2 linked regions of the Macaca mulatta genome follow. The protein of the gene in region 2 purifies or fractionates together with the protein of the main gene of each other region. This does not show direct contact. Links are inferred from orthologs where the notes say so. Each region holds a gene or a part of one and is shown on either strand. Other genes may lie near its edges. The genes, in order: MYO1C and BAZ1B.

Evidence for each region.
Region 1: the proteins of BAZ1B (region 2) and MYO1C purify together in Homo sapiens (affinity purification with western blotting; 3 studies listed by BioGRID, with this or other methods). This does not show direct contact. The link is inferred for Macaca mulatta from reciprocal best matches to the Homo sapiens genes BAZ1B and MYO1C.

What each region holds. Positions count from the first base shown.
Region 1 is NC_133421.1:3,017,833-3,021,646, reverse strand, and holds part of MYO1C (unconventional myosin-Ic), read left to right. Parts: intron 1-23; coding exon 24-137; intron 138-212; coding exon 213-289; intron 290-731; coding exon 732-800; intron 801-901; coding exon 902-986; intron 987-1,085; coding exon 1,086-1,245; intron 1,246-1,830; coding exon 1,831-1,914; intron 1,915-3,733; coding exon 3,734-3,814.
Region 2 is NC_133408.1:50,920,895-50,923,946, forward strand, and holds the end of BAZ1B (tyrosine-protein kinase BAZ1B), read right to left. Parts: intron 2,271-3,052; coding exon 2,167-2,270; intron 1,999-2,166; coding exon 1,641-1,998; 3' UTR 1,626-1,640; exon of another isoform or gene 1,140-1,625; 3' UTR 562-1,139; downstream 1-561. UniProt on the Homo sapiens protein: Atypical tyrosine-protein kinase that plays a central role in chromatin remodeling and acts as a transcription regulator. Involved in DNA damage response by phosphorylating 'Tyr-142' of histone H2AX (H2AXY142ph).

The sequences.
Region 1 (3,814 bases), on a different chromosome or scaffold from region 2:
ATTCCTGCCCCTCCTATCCCCAGGTACAAGTCACTGTGCCCAGAGACGTGGCCCACGTGGGCAGGACGGCCACAGGATGGGGTGGCTGTGCTGGTCCGGCACCTGGGCTACAAGCCAGAAGAGTACAAGATGGGCAGGTGAGTAGTGCCCATGCCAGGTGCCTGCGGGGAATAGGGGTGGCAACCCCAGGCTGATCACTGCTGCTTTCCCAGGACCAAGATCTTCATCCGCTTCCCCAAGACCCTGTTTGCCACAGAGGATGCCCTGGAGGTCCGGCGGCAGAGCCTAGGTGAGAGAGAAGCCCACCTTTCCTGCCGCACGGGGTCTGTTCCGGGAAGCAGGGAAGTCACTCCCTTGGGCTCCTTCTCCAGGGAGTCCACCCCTCCCTACCAGCTCCAGCCCCACACCCAGCTCCAGGGAGTCCACTAGTCGACTTGGAACCCCCTCCCTACCAGCCCCAGCCCCACACCCAGCTCCAGGGAGTCCTCCTCCAGGGAGTCCACTAGTTGACTTGGAACCCCCTCCCTACCAGCTCCAGCCTCACGCCCGCCATCGCACCCACTGCCCCCCCTTCTCCGGGCAGTCCCCACATTCATTCTTCTTCACTACTCTGCTGCTCGCTGGCTCCTTCGGCCACTGTCCCATTCATGCCACTCATGGAGTGCAGACGGCACCAGGCTCCCAGCTGGCTCCCCGCGCTCTGGCCAATTGCCTTTCTTTCCCAACTGCAGCCACCAAGATCCAAGCTGCCTGGAGGGGCTTTCACTGGCGGCAGAAATTCCTCCGGGTGAAGCGATCAGGTTCGTGGGCCCATGGGTTTTCAGGAGGGGCGGGGTCTGGGGCCAGGGGAGGCCACCATGGTAAGAAGATGGAGGTCAGCCATCTGTGGTCTCCACGACAGCCATCTGCATCCAGTCGTGGTGGCGTGGAACGCTGGGCCGGAGGAAGGCAACCAAGAGGAAGTGGGCAGCGCAGACCATCCGGCGGTGAGCACCAGGGTGCCTTGTGGGGGCTGCAGAGCAGGGCGTGTGGGGGGTTCACCACCAGCCTCCTCGCCCTCAACCCTGTCTGGCCCCCGACCCCAGGCTCATCCGAGGCTTCATCCTGCGCCACGCGCCCCGTTGCCCCGAGAACGCCTTCTTCCTGGACCACGTGCGCACCTCTTTTTTGCTAAACCTGCGGCGGCAGCTGCCCCGGAATGTCCTGGACACCTCCTGGCCCACACCCCCACCTGCCCTGCGTGAGGTCTGTGGGCACCCCCTGCCAAGTTAGGGACCATCAAAGTACACAGCAGAAGGGTCTGATTTCTTGGGGCCAAAGGATCGGTCAGGGAGGGGCTCACGGAGGGCCCGGACCAGAGCTGGGCAGTGAAAAGTAAGGTTTCTCTTTTTTTTTTTTTTTTTTTTTTTTGAGATGGAGTCTCACACTGTCACCCAGGGAGTGGCGCGATCTTGGCTCCCTGCAACCTTTGCCTCCCGGGTTCAAGTGATTCTCCTGCCTCAGCCTCCCAAGTAGCTGGGATTACAGGCACCTGCCACTACGCCCAGCTAATTTTTTTATTTTTAGTAGAGATATGGTTTCACCATGTTGGCCTGGCTGGTCTTGAACTCCTGACCTCGGGTGATCCACCCACCTCGGCCTCCCGAAGTGCTGGGATTATAGGTGTGAACCACCGCGCCCTGCTGAGTAAGGTCTCTTGACTCAGGAGTGGAAGCATTGTCCAGATGGAGGGGGCTTTGCTTATCCAAAGGCTGGGGTAACATATGTTCGATGTCTTCAGAGGGAAGGGCCCAGGGTGTCCAGGAGCTCTGACCTCACTCTTCCCTTCAGGCCTCAGAGCTTCTGCGGGAGCTGTGCATAAAGAACATGGTGTGGAAATACTGCCGGAGCATCAGCCCTGAGTGGAAGCAGCAGGTACGGAGAGTGGTGCTGGGTGAGGATGAGGAAGTGGAGTCAGGGAACCGCAGGCATTCCTCAGAGAGTGTTGGCCTAGAGGGGCATTTACCCTGGTCTACCGTATTTACCCCGCCTACTGTATTTACCCTGGTCTATTCTATTTACCCCAGTCTACCGTATTTACCCCGGTCTACTCTACCTCGTCTATCGTATTTACCCCGGTCTACCGTATTTACCCTGCCTTCCTTATTTATCTCGGCTTATCGTATTTACTCTGCCTACCGTATTATCTCGGCCTACCGTATTTACCGCGTCTGTCGTATTTACTTTGATCTACCGTATTTATCCTGCCTACCGTATTTACCCTCGTCTACCGTATTTACTTCCGCCTACCGTATTTACCCCGTATTTACCTCGTCTATGGTATTTATCTCGTCTATCGTATTTACCCCGTCTATCGTATTTACCCCCGTCTACCGTATTTACCCCGTCTATCGTATTTACCCCCGTCTACCGTATTTACCCCGTCTATCGTATTTACCTTGTCTATCATATTTACCCCGTCTATCGTATTTACCTCGGTTTACCATATTTACCCCGCCTACCGTATTTACCCGTCTGCCGTATTTACCCCTGTCTGCCGTACTTACGCCTGTCTGCCGTATTTACCTCTGTGTGCCGTATTTACCCCTGTCTGCCGTATTTACGCTTGTCTGCCGTATTTACGCCTGTCTGCCGTATTTACCCCTGTCTGCCGTATTTACCCCTGTCTGCCGTATTTACCCCTGTCTGCTGTATTTACCCCTGTCTGCTGTATTTACCCCTGTCTGCTGTATTTACCCCTGTCTGCTGTATTTACCCCTGTCTGCTGTCGTTTCTTTGGTCTACTGTATTTACCCCGGTCTACTGGCGACCTCAGTTGGATGCCAGGCCCTGCTGGGCCTTGTGTAGGAAGTGGACGCTGGAGTACATTTGGGGTGGCCAATAGGGTTCACCTTGTGGGCCAACTGCCCTTGATTGGTAGAGACTGCTCAGAACCCTGTGTTGAAAAGTCTGCATCTTCACTTGGATGGATTGGTGATGTTTGCCCTCATTACAGGCATTGGTTGATGTGCCGTGTTTTTGCCAACTCAGTACTGGATGATTCTAAAACACCCACCCAGCATAGATAACCTCTAGTAACCTTGAGTATTAGTGATCTGCTACTTAGAAGACCCCAAGCTGGAGCTGAGTCTCAGGGCCACCAGGGCCTGATGGGGTGGGGAAACATTACAAAGGCTAGTTTCTTTTTTTTTTTTTTTTTTTTTTTTTTTGAGACGGAGTCTCGCTCTGTCGCCCAGGCTGGAGTGCAGTGGCCGAATCTCAGCTCACTGCAAGCTCCGCCTCCCGGGTTTACGCCATTCTCCTGCCTCAGCCTCCCGAGTAGCTGGGACTACAGGCGCCGCCACCTCGCCCGGCTAGTTTTTTGTAGTTTTAGTAGAGACGGGGTTTCACTGTGTTTGCCAGGATGGTCTCGATCTCCTGACTTCGTGATCCACCCGTCTCGGCCTCCCAAAGTGCTGGGATTACAGGCTTGAGCCACCGCGCCCGGCCAAAGGCTAGTTTCAAAACCCGGCAGTGCCTTCATGACACCGCTGGGGAGTGTTTGGTGGCGGCAGAGGGTCAGGAAGTGGGGGGTTGATGGGAGTGTGGGGGGCAGGGCTCAACCTCCTGGTGCTGAGCAAGAGGGGGACCAGCAAGCAGGTGAGGGAGGCTGTCTCAGGTCCTAAGGCTGGCTCTGCCCCCCAAGATAGTACCCCCCACCGTGATACTCTCCTCACCCCCCTTGTCTCCTTAGCTGCAGCAGAAGGCCGTGGCTAGTGAGATCTTCAAGGGCAAGAAGGATAATTACCCTCAGAGTGTGCCCAGACTCTTCATT
Region 2 (3,052 bases):
ATGAACAAGAACAGACTGGATGTAGGAGGCAGGGGAAGCTGGCGGTGGTGGGGTTATGAAGCTGTGATGTCAGTGCCAACTCCATGCCTAGAGAAGGGACGGTAAACTACCCAGCAGCCCTGGAGCAATCCCCGTCGTCCTTGGGCAGGAGGACGGAGAAAGCAGGGGCCACACTCCGCAGTTTAATATTGAGAGGCTTGATTCTCATGTTCTAGGAGCTGCAGTCCCCTTGGTGGACTTTAATTTAAATAGGTACAGAAGAGCTTGGGTGCTCAACATTTCCAAATTCAAAGGTGATAAAAAAGAAAATTAAACCCTGTTTTGTACTTTTATCAAAATCCATCATAAAAGGGAAAGAAGACTACAAAGTTTTGCCTAAATATAACAACTAGAGCTAGACTGGTTGTGGGACGGGGCTCTCAGAGCTTCTCTGTTGCTCTCTCCTCCCACCCCCCACTGACACTGACCACTGGAATCTTCAGGTTCTTGAGGAGTTCCAAGTCTGAGGTCAGAAAGGGCATGGGAGGCAGCAGACGCGGCACTGCCCCACCCCGCCCCCGCCCCCAGTGTTGCTGCTTGCCTCGATGAGCCTCTAACCCAACTGCTCTGCAGGAGAGTGGATGGGCTGAGGGAGAAGCCAGGGAAGTTAGAGCAAACACATTATCATAGAAACTGTACTGTACATGTGCCAAAGCGAGATGTCAGGAGTATCTTACAAGATGTTCTTTATACAATATCACTGCTGAAACAAGCAACTTTTAATAACTAGAAAAGTCAATTTAAAAAAAAATTAAACATTTAAATTCTTCCTGCTTTTCTTCTGCTCCCCTAAGAGCTTGTCTGGTATGTGGGTGGGCTGGGCTCCAACACCCCTCTGGCCAGATCCATCAAAGTAAAGGTTATATGCATGATTATAAGCAGGACTCCAGTCTCTAAGTGAAGTGCCTTAGTTTTGTTTTTTGTGGTTTCTTATTTTTATTTTTTTGGGGGAGGGGAGCTGTCACAAAGAAGGGGAGAGAGATTCAGGAATGGCTCCAGGACACGTCCCTTTACTCTGCCAAGATCAACTCAAAAGACCACAACTGTTTCATGATGCTGGTGAATACAGAATTCTGTATGGCACTCACTGATACTGTCACCTGAGAGGAAGACGGGGAAGAGACAGAGTATGGGCTTAAAGAAACAAGACTGTATATAAATACAGATTAAAAAAGAAAAATCGCCACCATCTTCCCTGTTGGCCTGATTACCCCTGATCCTGCTATGTAACACAGCAATCCCACCCCTGGAGACCAGAGGGGCTTGGCACTGTGGTAAAAGCCAGAGTGAGAGGGGCCTTAGGAAAGAAGGCAGGAACAGGAACTGGGTTCACCAGAAAAGCTAGACCCTCAGACTCCTCCTGGAAACTCTCAGAAGGGAGGGTTATGGCCCTCTTCGTCCCTTAATATTTCTGGACAAAGACCACCAACCCAATAATAAGCCCCATAAAGAGCTGTTAGAAAAACAGCATAAGCTTGGGATGATGGGCGCTTCTGGACTCCCTGCGATCTCTTCAGAGTTCTCAGTCTTCCTCTCTCACCTCCCTCCCACCCTCCCTCGCTGTCCCCCCACCTCAGATCCCTTACCACAGCCCTGCCTCTCTACTTCTTCTGTCTTCGTCCCCTGGACTGTCCAACGGGCTCTGGCTCACTGTCCCCTTCATCTTCAGCAAGCCTATCAGGAAACTTCTTGCGCTTCCTGCGGACATATGGGTGGCCAGGAAGGTGTTTACGCAACAGAGCCACTAGACACTGTTCTGTCTTCGCCATGCAGCTTAGCACATGGCTGCCACGGCAGTTGTAAACCTCAGCATTGGTAAACACTTGCTTCATGTCAGTAAGAAACTCCTGCACAGAGCGGTAGCTCCCACAGGAACATTTGTTCTGCACTGTCTGAAAGTCCATGGGGTGCGTGATCACATCATAGTAGTCCTCGGCCTCATCTCTGGTCACAGGCTCCCTGTGGAGAAGAACCAAATAGAGAATCTGCATAGCCTTGACGGCAGTGCCCATGCTAAGACACATCCTAAAAAGCAAGGGCTTGGCTGAGAGCCCCTCAGGGGTTCTGGAAGCTTTTAGAACCTGCTAGGCCACTCCTCTCCCCTGCACCTGAGAACACAGCGCTCACCTGAAGGGCCAGCTGAAGCGGTACTTCACGATCTTGTGGAGGATCTCTTCACACTTCTGCAGCTCCAGGCTTTGCCTCCGGGAGCTCCGCTTGGTCTGAAGCACCTGGCAGGAAAGAAATAACAATGTTATTATAGATTCAAGACAGGAGGAAGAGTGCATAGGGCAGAAAATAAGTGTATCTGCTCAAAAAAGGAAGAGTTCAACTATTTCCTTGGCACAGAGGTGCTGAAACCTTCTGACATTCAAGTCAGGGAGCACCCTCGGCCCAGGTGGCAGGCATCTTCCCAGTAGTCCACTTGCTCGCCCCCGCAGGGCCATGGCAATCAAAGCAGCAGAGAGCAGGCAGCAGAGGCCGTCTTCACCAGCAGTCCTACTGGAGGTCGGCTGAAGGGGGCCACTGTCAACAGGACACTAGCTCTCGGAGAACAGGTGGACCTGGGGTTACAGTGACACCATGGAAGGGCATCAACAAGCCACTGCAGAAAGCCAAACAGGCTATCTGGGTCACCAGCAGCCAATTCTGTGGGGGTGAGGTGCCTCTGGGAAGAAAAGCAAGAGGTCCAATTCCCTTCCTGGGCTCTTCCAACGTAGACATGTGAGGGCTAAGTGGCTAAAGAGAAAAGGGGCGGGGCCTCCATTCCAGGTAGCCATAACAAAGCTGTGACTCACAGCAGAGGCCACACAGAGCCCAAGGGGTGAAGGCTGGGCAAACCGAGCATCTTCTAATGCCCTATGATCTCCCCAATGGCCTGCCTTAAGCCCCTAACTCCAATTTGATCTGTCAAAACAAGCACCTTTTCAAGAGTTTCTTTTTTGTTCTTCAAAGCTCAAGTGAGATCTAAAAACAACTAAAATTACATTGGTTAAGGAGCAGAGGGGAGGGT